Oryzias latipes: one gene and its partner. The protein of the gene in region 1 purifies or fractionates together with the protein of each later gene. This does not show direct contact. Links are inferred from orthologs where the notes say so. Each region holds a gene or a part of one and is shown in the gene's direction. Other genes may lie near its edges. The genes, in order: naa30 and naa38.

Region 1 (7,311 bases):
TTAATCACAATATTAAGTGAAAATGTGATTTTTAAAAACTAGTTTCTGGAACCAGACATTAGGACAGATAATTGACTCACAGGAAATGCAGTTTTATACAATAACACCCAGAACTCGTGAAACCCTTAAAAAAAAATCCAATTATGGTTTACAAATCTCATTCCTCAGCTTTGTTCAAATTGTGCTTATAATTCTGAGGTAGTAAGTCTAGACTCAGCGTTGATTAATGGGTAGAATATTGATTTAAAATAAAATCTTTGGCAGAAATGTACCTTTTTAATTTGAGATGGTCAAACTTAGTCTAAATTTACATTTAAAAATTCTCAATTTTTCACGAGGTTTAAAGGAAAAAAGTAATAGATTCTACACTCGAAATAGGTTATGTTTCAGATTTACTCCTAATAATGGGGTTTCTCCTGAGCTTTGCCAGTTTGTAATAAATGATTTGAAGTTTCCCTTTAATGTCATGTTTGGGATCTGCTTAGTCTTTTTCCACCCAAATATGGAAAGGAAAGAGAGATTTTTGTGTTTACCTGAAGTGGGAACATTTGACTTCTTATTACAGGATTGACAATCAGATATGGACCCGTATGATGACTGCTGTCATTTTTCTGCGCATGGATTCCTGTCAGTCATGGACAGAAATAAAGTCCCTAACAAGTTCCTGCTAAAGGTTAGATGGTCTACAAATGGGCTTCCTGCCACTGCAGACTGCTTAGGACAAATAAACTGCATCCACTGCTCTGATCAGTTTCCTGAGCTCTAATGAAAGCTTCCTACTGGAGCCATATTTCCTTACATTTTATCATACTGACTCTTTAAAAATGGTGTGCAGCAGCTTTGATTGCTTTCAAAGCCTTGGTAAGCCACATGCACACACAGTCAAGTACACAACGCAACAGGCCCCAAACTGCATCTGGTCTTTCTATGGACTGACGGACAGGCATCCGGGCATTTTATTAAAACAAAAAGTAGGATGATTGTCCAAAATCATTATCTTACGAGTCCGAGCTAATTTCTCCTGGAGAACTCGTATCACTCAGCAGCAGATGGTTCATTTCTCACCCAAATTCTTAATTGGGCTTTTCTTCTCTGCCTGTTTCCTTCACACAGACTCCTCCCTCCTCTTGCCTCACTCATTTTACACATGAAAGCAAGATGCTAATTGTCTGCTGTGGGAGTATTCAGGCTGTGATTAGTCAGACTGGGTTTGGCCTGGCTACAGTTCCTTGTGTCTGACTGTTAAGGCCCGTACACACCGGGACGAATATTCGCCAGGCGTTATTCGCCAGCGTTTTTCGCCACGTTTTTTGTGTTCACACCCAGGCGATTTTCGCTGACGATGAGTGGAGTGAACATGCAATTTCATTCCCTGACATTAGATGGCGCTTAATGTAAAACAGAAATACTCCTGTACACAAGGTGGCGCTGCGCAACTTTACGCTTCTGAAAGTCGCTTTTCACTCAGAAGAAGAGAGCAAGTATTTACACGCTTGTCAGAATCAAACAAAGAAAACATGAATATTTCAAGCACCAGTAGCTCCAACTGGTGCTTGGTTCGGGGATATTTTAGAATGTCCGTCATTATTTCTTCGCGGCAGTGTAGACGCTACTTGGCGTCTATCTTCTTCGCTGGTATGTGTGCTCAGCAAGGCAGTTTTGTGTTTGAGCGCCCCCAAGTTGTGTTTTACTGTAACTTCAGAAGCTCCAGACACGTGAGCAAAAGCGCCGTTCTCATTGGTCGAGTAGATTTCGACGCGACGCGTCGAAAAAAAAAAAACGAACCCGAGGCGTTTTTTTTTTTTTGACGCTTTAACGCCTGGCGTTTTTTCGCGTCGGTGTGCACACTCTCGTTGGTGCCCTTTGTTTAGTCACGAGGCGTTAAACGTCGGCGAAAATCGCCGGCGAAATTCGTCCCGGTGTGAACAGGCCTTTAGGCCAAAATATCAACAGCAGAAGGAAACAGGTTTTAGGTTGTTCAAAGAAACACATTAGCTGCATGACTGGTCCTGTGCTCCATTGTGTTGCCAACATTAGGTTGGTTCATCTCAGACAGGCTTAAGATAAATTACTGGATGTAAGCTAACGTTGCTTTTAAAGTTGTATTACTGACATCAATCCAATTATTTTTGTTTTGATAGATAGCTGTTCTTATGATCTCCACCTTATCCCCCAGGAGCCATTTCTGCAAAACTCCCATGTATGTGTGGGAAGCTGATTATTTTTCTTCTTTCTCTCCGGTAACTATTAGGTAGCACAAATAGTTTGGGGCGTTATGCCACCCACAATAAGCTCTGGGGTCTGCAATGAGCCGACGGACCATCCCGGGTGTACCCTACTTTAATGTTGCATAACCGCGCTTTTCTCCCGACAGGATCCACTGGAATTATGTTATTTGGGTAATAGGTCGGACAGTAACGGTAGTCGAAAAAACATCAACATTGGAGCAAAAGCTTTGATGTTAGAGGGTTAAGTGGGTTTGGAAGGTGGCTAGATGATAAGCTCAAGTCTCTTTTGAGTAATAAAACATAGCCAAACCTCCCACTTCAAACCTCACCGCAAATAATTAAAAACTCTATCTGGAAAAACAAACTGCATCCACTGCTGTCTTGTTTATTGACCCTTCTGCAACCAAAAACTATATATTTTGATAGATTTCCACTTCCATTTAAAACACTGCACTCTGATTTATATTAAATTTTGTGTTTTTATCATGGATCATTTAATCTTCCTTTAAAGACTTGCTGCAATGAAACGCGTGTTTTTTTGGTTTGTTTAACATGTTCTTGTGGCATTTTTTCTGATGATAGAGGACAAATAAACAGGAAATTAAGATTAAAACTACTTTTCTGAGTATTTCTTTATTCAAATTGTGATGAATCAAAAAAATCGTTAAAAAAAAGCCTGTAGCTGTGACGTACCCCGTTTTCTTTGTTTTCCTCGTCCAACCTGGTATCTGGCTCAAAACTGTACGGCTGGAAAGCTCTTATATTGCTCGCCATCTTTTTTTCAATGGTAATGTTAGCTTGGGGTTGTAAGGGGCTGTGAGCTAGCAGGAGAGAGTGTAAACAAAGGGATTATGGGAAGTCAGGTTGGGCTTACCATAGAAGTAAAACAGTTCCTGCAGGAATCATTTTCTAATACTGTTACAGGTAAAAGGATGAATTTACAAAGCTTAGATTTTGTTTGGGTTCTCAAACTGGGTATTGCTGCGTGTTCATGGGTTTGTGCTGATTCAATACCTTTTTTTCTCTTGTTTCTCGGTCGTTGTGTTGCATTTTTGACACCAAACTAAATAGGTCTTGAAATGCATGAAATTGTTAAATAGAAACTGAATAGTAGAGTTGTTGCACGCGGTTTAGGTCAAATATTTCCCCCCATTTATTTTAGTTTCATTGTTTATTTATTTTTTGTCAGCAAAATATTTTATTTGTGCTTGATGGGTTGTAATTTTGTGCATATACTAGTGTTTTACACAATTTCTAACCTACATTTTCACTTGTTCCTAAAACTACAACTGTCATGGCAGCTCACTGTCGCAAAACGTCCTTTGGGTGCGACAGGCACTTTACGGCAGCAGGTAGAGCAGCAGACAGCAGAGAGCCGTGGTGTTCACCGGAGGACCTTTTGGCTCCAGACTCCGAGGATTCGGGAAAAAATCTCCGAACTTCGAATCGACTGCCGGTGTTCCGCTCGGTTTCGTTGATGAGCCCGTGTCCACCGCGTGGATCTCCGCTCTAACGCAGTGGGATGGCCACAGTGCCGCCCGGGCCTAGTGAAGCTCTGCTTGCGTCCCCGGCTGACAGTCATCCCTTCTCCGGGGACAGAAGCGCGCAGCCGGTGGTGGAAGACGGACAGCCGCCCTGCCTCGCGAATGACTGCGTGTCTGCCGGCACGAGGGACGAGTCTCATCCGTTGAACGACGTTAAACGCTCGGTAAAGAGGAAGCAGAAAGGTATGCTAACTCAAACTAGCCCGGCGGTGCTGCACCTCAAGCCTCAGAGCGGAGAGCAGCAGCTGAACGGCGTGGTCAGCCCCTCCGAGGAGCCCGACGTCCGGCCCGAGAGTCTGAGGTCTCCCGCTGACACTGACAGCGGCGATGGAGCGCCGGCGGAGCGCGAAGGCCCCGTGTCCGAGAACGGCGCTCACCTTAACGGCATGCCGGACTTCTCGAGGTCCGAGGCGGCCCGCGGAGCCGACAAACACAAGCAGCCCTCCAGACCGCCAGGCCACGAGTCCCCGGACGCTGCCGGGCCCGGCGGAGAGGAGAGCTCCTCGGATCCGCCCGCCGCCGAGCTAGCCCGGCTTGACCTGAGTGGCTCTCCCGGGCCGGACAGCCACGGCATCCGCTACGTGCGCTACGAATCGGAGCTGCAGATGCCGTGGATCATGAGACTGATCACGAAGGACTTGTCCGAGCCTTACTCCATTTACACCTACAGGTACTTCATCCACAACTGGCCGCAGCTCTGCTTTCTGGTGAGTCCAACTCCGATCCCCCTCCACCCAAAAACACCTCCAAACCAGCCTGCTGCCCACGTGCCACAGGTCACATGACCACTACAAACACTCACCTGGAAAGTCTGGTTATGATCTGTTTGCTCCAGATGATTGAAATGGTCACGTGCCCAGCACAAACGCCTATAATCTGACAATGGTAGTTACCTAATTTGATGAAACTATAGCAACCAGCTAGAGTTCTCCCTAAAACTCTTAATTTACTACAACTCTTTCACTTCAAAATGTTACAAAAGCAAAAATACATCTAGACAATAGTCACAGTGAGTGATAAACAGGGGATCTAGACTTTTTCTTTGACTAATGCCCTTTCTGGGATAACTGTAAAACTATTGTCAACTGTTATTAAACATTAAAAATTGATCAAATATGGTATTGATCATTTTTGGCCATTTTTTGTTGTTGCTTTCTTTCCACACCGTTTTAAAAGCAGCAGAAAAGATCTCTGCTGTTGTATGATGCGTTTTAAATAAAGTTTTTCAAATGAACTTGATCTAAATGTAAACACATTTTGACAACATTCAAAGGTTTTTATTCATATGGTATGGTGTTAAAAGGACTCAGAGGTTGTCTTTGTTTTGTCCCTTTTAACAAATAACTTTGTTGGTTTTTGTTGTCTTAAATTCAGGATCAAAGTGTCTTCTAACAACAGTCATATAGGATTGAAGTCAATAGAAATGATGTACAAACCATTGTCTGTATATAAGAACTGGACTGAGTGACCCCCCCCCCCCCCCCCCCCCCCCCCCCCCCGGTGTTCCAAACAGGAAGTTCCGGCTGACTCCAAGAAGCCAAAATCTCATAGACTTCTATAGAGAAATAAACAGGTCAGTCTCAGTCATCAGTAAGCTCAATGCGCCTATAACAAAAGACGACATAAATGGTTACCTACAAGCCGCTTTCCTATGTGGGTCATTTGGAGAATAATTGAAGTTATGGTGAGTTTGATTCAAACAAAATGTTACAGCAAATTGGAAATGATGCATCAGTTATTTAGCTTTTCATGTATCGCAAGTGATATAGTCTTTGCAATGATGATCACTAATATCGGACATGGCGGGTTTTCCTCGTGTCGTGCAGCCCTAGTGACGGTCCAGCTCTCATATACAGGCAGTGGGATGTGTGTGTGTGGATCCCAGCATTTTCCTCCAGCTTTATTTAACCCTCGCTAGCTCCAGTGTTGACGGTCTTTCCATGCAACTCTTCAGCTGGTTTTGCAATTAACGTCATTCCAGTGGATTCTGTGGCAGAGAAAAGTAGCTCTGCGCCAAAACATTACGTTTACTGTCGTAAAGTATTGCATGTCTGTACAAAGCCCCTTTTTTCTGCGGCTGAGTCGCACTGATGGAGTAAATGGTTGAGGAGTTAACGTTATGTCAGAGAGTGTGTGTTATTCAGGTGTTGCCGGCGACTTTCCCCAGTGTTAAAAAGCTAAAAAATATCTTTTTTGTTTTGTTTTTCTTAGATATGAATGTGTGTACTTTACAAAGCATCCCTCACCTTTGACCCTTGTGCTATCTTAGATGACCCCACCCTTACATTGACATGTTCTCCCTACCATGATAAAGGTGGAAAGATTTCATGTAATCTCTGGACACCAGTGAGGATCACAAATCATTGAAGAAAAAAGGTTCAGAGCACTGTCTAGTGGGTCTAGATGACCCAACTCCCAATGGTAAAGTGCCTAGGATAGCACAAGGGTTATAGCAGACTTCAGCCTCTACTTTTTGTAGAAGTGCTGCTAGCTAGCAGCGGACCGATCTTCAACCTTCACGCAGGGCTAGAAGGACCTGAAGGCAGCATGTTTGTGTGTCCTCAGGCCATGGTGGAGCAGGAGTGTGTGGGAGCCATCGTTTGTAAACTGGACATGCATAAGAAGATGTTTCGCCGCGGCTACATCGCCATGCTGGCTGTGGACTCCAAGCACAGAAGGAAAAGCATCGGTAAGCTCTGCCTTTGTGGCAGACTTTCAAGAGGAGCTTTATTTAAAAACTATCAAATCAAATCAACCTTTATTAATATAGCACTTTTTCAACACATGTCACTCAAAGTGCTTTGCATAGAATATAATCAAACTTTAAAAACAAAATGACAAGACAAACAATGCCAACCAACCCCCCCCCACACACACACACACACACACACGCAGACACACCCACACACACACACACTCACACAGACATACACACACACACACCATGATAAAAAGAGTGATAAAATGATGCAATGTAGAGACCTGGCTTTGTCCTGAAATGGGGAAACGATATTTTGGGGACATGTCCACATCAGTGACCCCCCCACCCAAGTTCATGGAGTCCACTACCGCAGAACCCCCCAGATCCGATCGAAAGAGTCAGACCCGGGAGATCCCACTGCAGCGACCCCGTTCACTGAGAAGGTCAGTCACTGATGTGGAGGATCGCTGAGGAAAACACTAAAATATAAAAGGAATCAAATGAAGATATATTTAAAAGATGAACAAGAAACAAATAATTACATAACACCTAAATAGACACATAAAATGGTAAGTGTGACAAAAAAATTAAAAATAAATAAATACAAATAAATAAATAAATGTTTATACATACACATATAAAACTAGTAAAAGGAGAAAATAAATAATGAAAATATCAAATAAATTCATAAAATTCAACTAAAAGCTAGAGTAAAAAGGTAAGTCTTAAGCCCTCCTTTTAAAAACATTAACAGTCTCTGCGGCCCTGAGGCTCTCTGGGAGGCTGTTCCACAGGCGAGGTCCATAAAAACTGAATGAGGCCTCGCCGTATGTTTTAG
Region 2 (7,403 bases), on another chromosome or scaffold:
GGATGGATGGTTGGTTGGATAGATGGATGGATGGATGGATGGATGGATGGATGGATGGATGGATGGATGGATGGTTGGTTGGTTGGTTGGTTAGATGGATGAATGGATTGATGGATGGCTGGATAGATGGATGGTTGGGTGGATGGGTGCATGTTTGGTTGGATGGATGGTTGGTTTGATGGATGGATGGTTGGTTGGATGGATGGATGGTTGGTTGGTTGGTTGGATGGATAGATGGATGGTTGGTTGGTGGGGAATTGTGGATGGATGGTTGGACTACATTGTACATTCTCAATGCTACACAAGGACAAATTCATGTTTTTTTTACAGATCATTTGCTTTGAGTGTACTCACTTTATACACGTTCATACTCTTAACAGTAGATTGACTCTTTTACACCTTGTAACTGCTGTTTCTACAATCTAGTATTATTTTTAATTATTTTCAGATTGTTTTCCATTTTTATACTTAGGTTCTTGTTGGTCAGTTGTCCAATACAATTCACTACATGTCGCATGTTGTACTAAGTATAAAGATGTATGTGACACCGGACACTTCCTTGTGTTTTTTATTGTTTATTTTAGTGGTATTTATTTTCTGCCTCCATCTATCTATTCATCCATCCATCCATCCATCCATCCATCCATCAAGTTTCAAATACTAAAATACAATTTTTGAGGGTTGCAATAAAGACTCTTGTTCTGTTCATTTCCGGTGCAGACAGAGGGAAACCATCGTGTAAAGCACGGTGGTGGAAGGATGATGGTTTGGGTATGCTTTGCTAAGAAAGCTTGCACTCTGAGTTGATCTTAAGCGAATTAGTTAGTTCCACAATGTTCTAATCAGGTTCAGCCCACAGACCCATTCAGACGCCGCTGGTCTTTGACGGGCTGCACACAACCAAAACCACAAACGTCTCCATGAAAAGAAGACATCTGATGTGAAAAAGGGTGGACCGGAGGTGCTGCACACTGACAGAGACTGATGAAGTGAAACTACAGTCAACCACAACAGTGAAGCAGAAGACATCAATCAGTTTGGAAGTTCTTATTTTAGCCTAAATAAAGATTTGTGTCTTTTGGCTCACGTTAAGCTGGAAGTTTAGACTGATTTTAGTAAAGTATTAGCTTGATGGACGACCTTTAAATCACCTTCAGAATGCTCTAGAAGAGGAAGATGCTTCCAACTCACTGCTTTAATATGGCAGTAAAACCACTGTTCAGCATCTCTGAGCAGTTCCTACTGACCTGTAAGTTTAACCAGACACAGAGGAATTTTTTCACAAAGTTAAAAATGATTTGTAAAATCCCTCGGCTATTTTGGAAAAGTAGTTTTTAGATCCTTTATGGTGAAAAACAGATTTCTCCACAGACACTTTTTTATTTAAGTGTTGTGGAACAGAAGCCAATTTGGTCATTTTTTTCATCAGTCCATGAGTTAAATGGCAAACATCTAGATCATGAGCCTGAAACACACGGTAAGAACCTCCACCTCTGTGCTTCATAGTTGAAAAACCAAAGTGTATGTTTTATTTATTTATTTAGACTTTTTTTTTTTCCAAAAGTCGCATGGGAGTTTTTCAGATTAGGTTGTGCCTTATTTTTTTAATCCAAATTAGATGCTTTTTTAAATTCAATTTTTTGGTTAACATAACAAAAACTCAAATCAAATAAGTTTTCTTTCTACAGTGTAAAGGTCACTCTGCGTTTTATTTCACACTTTCAATATATTTATAAAAAGATTTCTTAATGTTCTTAATGGACAAAGACCTAATTTGTCCTAACCGTTGTTTTGTCATAACTACCAGGTAATTGTTTTGAGCCACCATAACCCGACCCGACCCCCCCCCCCCTAGCCAGGATTCCGACCTTGGTGGCCAATGGGCACAAAGCTCCCCTGTCACATAAAGTTAGGCTCAGCAGTGAAAACTGTGAAAGTCTGAATTAAAATTGTAGACGGAGGACTGAGAGCGAGACACGGAGCCCGTGATCTGACATGGGTAAATTCATGTGGTAAGTCACTCATAAACATGGATGTGAGCAATACTTGGATTTACAGCAGATACCTTCACATTTCTGACTGTATATATCTCAATACAAAGCATAGAAGACACAGAGGATGTTTAGAGATCCAATTTATTTATTTAAAAAAGCTCCACAAAAGCATCAATAATCCCGTTCATACACATCCCGGTACGCTCTCCCGACTGCCGCAAAAGCAGCTTTCCGCCGCTACATCTTTGTCTCTGTGACCTGCATTAATTCAAGAGGGGAAAATTAAAAACAAGAATCAAACTAGGGGATCCATTTATCACTGTTGAAAATAAGAGAAACATTGTAAGATTTAGGAGGGCCGAGCTTGTCGGCACGCCGACTTTCGGGCAGCTGGCTGGCCAGCAGGCGAAGCGTTGCTGCGGTATGTGGCGTTGCATTTTAGGGTCGAACAGGAATAATAATATCCATGACGTGCTGAGGTAACTTGTCTTTTAGTAACAGTTAGCAGTTACTTTACACCCGAAGGCTTCATGCTACTTATCCCATCATGCATCACACATATCCCATAACGCATCTCGACCAATCAACGTGTCACTGTAAGTGAGGTTGCTTTCAAATACAACAGGATAAATGTATATCTGAATTTTATTTTTTTGAGGCAAGTAATTATTATTATTTACCCATGTTAGCTCACAGGCTCCGTAGTGAGGAAAGAGAAACATAAACAGCTGTTATCGAAAAAACTGTTTTTTTTTAACGTTTAAAATTTACAATTTAGTTTTACAATGTTCAATACTTCTTACAGGTTTACAATGTGTACTTTGAGTTTAAAACTGTTGTCCAGTTATTCAATTTACAACGTCAGTTTTCTTCCAATTCACAATCTGGTTTTTTATTCATTTTAAGCTGATCCTAATTTAGCCCCATAGAAATGTTCAATCAATCAGTCAATCAATCAATCAATCAACTAATCTTTTCATTTTTTTATGTCTTCCATTGTTCCCTCCAGCGTCCCATAAAGCAACTAGTGAATCTAGTCATAAATGTAATTTTTCTGACCAAATCCCAAACTTTTCTTTATTTTTGTTTCAGGTCTGTTTATTTGTAAAATCAAGTAGTTTAAAACAAAAAGCCAAAAAGCTTGAAAATATCCCAACATAAACTTTTTAAAAATGCTAAATCTGTAAAGTTTTGTTAAATCTAGTTTTACATACCCATGTAATTTTACATATTCATTTCTACCTCTGGCACTTTATATTATTTTTATTCCTTGTTTATATGTTTGGATTAATGTCTGTTGTATATTTATATTTTTGTACGGTACCTGGCATTTATAATAACGTTTCTGGAGGGGGAAAAAATGTCAAATGCGACCTACTTCCGGTCCAGCTGGTCCGTCGGTAAATTTGTTCCGCAAGAAACAAGAAAAGGTTATGGCAACAATAATCGAGGAAAACGGTCCTTCGACTCGAGTATGTATTTGTCATGTTTTTGTGTAACGATATTTACATTTTTTTCATTACACTATTTTTTTTAAAAAAAGGAAGAAAACAAATGATAGATTAGAAAGTGATTATCGATACTTTAAGTAAGACGTTAGCCTGAAGCTAACAAAATAGCATTCTAAAAACGTGCCCTGCACAGCCATGATTATAAACAAACTAGCTACTTTGAATAAAATATGATAATTGCAATTCTTCTACAATTATTAATCGTGTTCATCGTTTTAAGATATTTTGTGATAATGTTGGCAGCAGTTCTTAGTCATTTGTGTGTGTACCTCCAGGGGCAGACCGAGGTTCCGCCTTCGTCTCAGGCCAGACAGAAGCTGGAGGGGCTCCTGAACAAGAACATGAGGATCCGCATGACGGACGGACGGACTTTGGTGGGGCTCTTCCTCTGCACGGACCGCGACTGCAACGTCATCCTCGGCTCTGCTCAGGAGTTCCTCAAATCTCCAGGTAACAAAACAAGAGGGAACCAGAGAAGACGTTATAGCTGGCCGGTTCTCCTCCACACAGAACATCGGGTTACATTTTATATTAACTGGTTATTCATCATAGTAGTAGGTTGAAAGGTTGCCATCTGGTTGGTTTTTAAAGTTGAAGACGTTTCACCTCTTATCCAAAAAGCTTAGTCAGTTCCCGAACAGAACGATGGAATCAACCCGGATGAATGAGAGTCTTCATAGACTTAACTAGTTATTACTACTCTTGTTTGTGGCTTTTCTATGTTGTTGTGGTGTCATTTGGAGATGAAATCCTCATCCCTGGTGTTTTCACAAGATGTTCAACAACGTTACATGGTTCTTCCACTAAAAAAAGTTTCAAAAACACAAACCAACATATTTAAAAAGTCTTGAAAAGGTCATAAAACCATTGACTGTATTTAGGACCTGGACTGAGTGAGTGTGATGTCATCCATAGAAAGCGCCTTACCTCCAGGTCCAACAAAATGGACTGGCGCCATTTTATTTGCGAAACGCCGCCATGTTGGAGCCATACGAGGTCAGTGAACGGTGATTTGTCCGAACCAATGGCAACCACTCTAACCAAACAGGAGTGAGCTTGTTGGAAGACCACACCCCATCCACGTGAAAGCAGGCTACACATCTGCCAAACATTTTGAACATTTGTTTTAAGACCACATGCTTTTATTGAGGCACCTGATTGGTCAGTTTATAACTTAAATAATTTGCGCTACAGAGAAAAAGATTAATAAGAACATGTTTAAAAAAAGGTAGCAGAGCAAGAATGGTAGTTCAGACTGAGTAATGGCTGTTTATTTCTCAGTTGAAGTTTATGGGAAGTTGAAGTTCAGCTTCTTGGAGCCAGCGGCTACTTCCTGTTTGGAACGTGAGGAGGGAGGGGTCACTCAGTCCAGTTCTCATATACAGTCAGATTTAGACCACCTTTAGCCACTGTACCAGGAGAAACGTTTTAGTGGAACATTCCTGAGTCGCGAAATGTTTTTTTTTTTTCTTTCTACCTTTAAAACTCGGACTCGTAGTTCTAGAGGCTGAGGTTTAAGGCGGTTTTCCCCCCTGAAAAGGAGCATTGATGCTACCATGTCCTCTTTCCTCAGACACGTTCTCTCAGGGTGAACCCAGAGTGCTGGGCCTGGCCATGATCCCCGGCCACCACGTGGTGTCCATCGAGGTGGAGGCCGACAGTCTAGAGGACGCTCACGGATTTGGAGCCATCTGCTGAGGAAGCCTGGGACATTTGCAGACTTCAACACCCATCATGCTTTGCTGCTGGACAGTTGGACCGCTGGTGTTGGTGGATCACAGAACGTTTGGATTCAGCCGTTCCCTCAAAGACTGACAGGAAGGTTCTGCCGGCTGCAGGAGTGGAGACAGACTGAGATTAAACGTCTCTGCCGGAGTGGTTTTAAAATAAAAGTTCTGTTTGAAGCTTTGGATTCCTGCAGAACCGTATGAGAAATGTGGACCATATTTAGGATTTTAAACTGATTATGATCACATTTTATTTTAGAAATTCTTTCAAAAGTGAAGCCAGCAATGTCTTCGTTTATTGCTGCCATTTTGGCTGACGTGTGACATCACAGAACTAGTCTTTTTTTCAAAATAAAAGTATATAGGCAGGACAAACAGGCTTTTTAGTTTTCAGTCAGAAGACTAACCTTTGCAATCTTTATGTTTATGAATAAAATGAAAATAAAACTTTACAGTTATGTATATTGTATCAAGTCAAACAAACGTTTTGGGAAGTGGACCAAATTTATTGGATTACTTTAAAAGCGAAGGCAGCGATGTCCGTTGCAAAACTGACATCACCAAACCCTAATCTTTTCAAAATAAAAGTACGTTTTGAATTGGTCAAAAAATCGTTCACGATTTTTAAGTTCATATGTAAAATTAGTATTTCAAAGTAAAAGTTTGAGTACATTATGGATATTGTAACCAGCAAAGAAGAGATGTTTTTTGAGCAAGACTAAATATTTTTGTTTTGAATTTATGCCTTAAACCTGAACTTCTTTTAGTTTCCTTAGTGAACTTCACCTTTTTCTAATTACTTTGGTTTTTTTAACCTGCTTCAACCCGGAAGTTGAATTTCTTCCCGTTTGTCTCAAGGGACTTCTAAAGATATAAAGATGCACATGCATGCATTAAGTTTTTCCTCTTTTTTTTTAATTAACTTTATTTAAAAAGGGACTAAACAAGAAAGAAAAACAAACGAATGAGGTAAAAGGAGTGCAAACGAATCATTTACATGTTTTATTACACTCAAAACATGTCAGCAGGTTCAGTTTGGCAACAGTAAATCGATGCCGTCAACAAATGAGACTTCATCTTTAAATACGGTCACATTAAAGTCCACACAGTAAGCCGTAGAACCAGTTCCATTTCTTAACCTGGTAAAAATAACTTAAAGTTGTGCAAACAGAAATAAAATGGAGATGGGGCGTAACATGGTTTTTCATGGCAGCACCTACAGCCGTCACGTTTTCTTTCCTCAAACTTCCGCCTTAAGTTTTCCGCCTTCGCATAAACATTCTCCGCGTCTTTGTGAAATACAGACGCCGCAGAAACTCGAGCTCCGGCTCTGCAGAACATCTGACTTGTTCTAATTATAAAGCAGTTTCTGGGATGGCAACCAAAGAGTCTTCAGGTTCTCTGAAGGACTTTTAAAAAGCTCCAACTTCTCTCCATTTGTGGACGTTTGGAGATTAAAGCCTTTGAACCTAAATATATTTGCAGCTTTTTTTTATTTTGATCATCTTTTTTTTGAAAGGCCAATGAGCTGCAGTTTAAAGCAGAAAACTGCAACGACAGAGTTCCATCCACAGGATTTCAACCTTCAGAAGTTTCACGTTTGAACCTCATCGTTTCTTTGGAAGCTCCTCAAAGTCTTTAAATAGAAAGAGGAGACTCCAAAATGTCACATTTGAGAAAAAAAGAATCCTAAGAGGCAAACCTGCCTGTAGACGATTCAAAAATGGCACAAAGTGCTTCAGTTTCCTGTAACCACCACCTTTAGGTTTCCTAGAGTCTTCCTCTGGATTCAGAGGAAGGTCCAGATTGAAGAAGAAGAAAAGTCAGAAGTTTTGAAACTGCACCAACGTAGATGAAGACGTCCTGAGGAGTCCGTCCCCAATCCACAAACCTCCTGGGGTCTAGTTGTACTCAAACTTGAAGTGGAAGCTGCCTCCAGAATCAAAGGGGTTGAAGTGGAAAGGCCACGGCCTCTGACCGCCGCCTCCGCCCTGCTGGTTCTCCGGGTCCAGAGGATCCTCGCCCGAGTCGAACTTCTGTCTCATTTCTGGAATCGGATGAAAGGAGGAACAAGAAAACATTGTATTCATAACACCGAAAACTTGTAATCAAACACGTGAAAAATGTCGAGTGACAGGCTCAGTCAAAGGCCCTCAACACCATTAGTCTAG

The links.
Region 2: the proteins of naa30 (region 1) and naa38 purify together in Homo sapiens (co-immunoprecipitation; 3 studies listed by BioGRID and IntAct, with this or other methods). This does not show direct contact. The link is inferred for Oryzias latipes from reciprocal best matches to the Homo sapiens genes NAA30 and NAA38.

What each region holds. Positions count from the first base shown.
Region 1 is NC_019882.2:10,204,536-10,211,846, forward strand, and holds the start of naa30 (N-alpha-acetyltransferase 30), read left to right. Parts: upstream 1-3,423; 5' UTR 3,424-3,750; coding exon 3,751-4,479; intron 4,480-6,337; coding exon 6,338-6,461; intron 6,462-7,311. UniProt on the Homo sapiens protein: Catalytic subunit of the N-terminal acetyltransferase C (NatC) complex. Catalyzes acetylation of the N-terminal methionine residues of peptides beginning with Met-Leu-Ala and Met-Leu-Gly.
Region 2 is NC_019876.2:17,554,477-17,561,879, forward strand, and holds naa38 (N-alpha-acetyltransferase 38, NatC auxiliary subunit), read left to right. Parts: upstream 1-3,348; 5' UTR 3,349-3,361; coding exon 3,362-3,466; intron 3,467-3,780; coding exon 3,781-3,955; intron 3,956-5,078; coding exon 5,079-5,203; 3' UTR 5,204-5,694; downstream 5,695-7,403. Other genes in the region: dnaJ homolog subfamily C member 3, read right to left, coding at 7,134-7,279.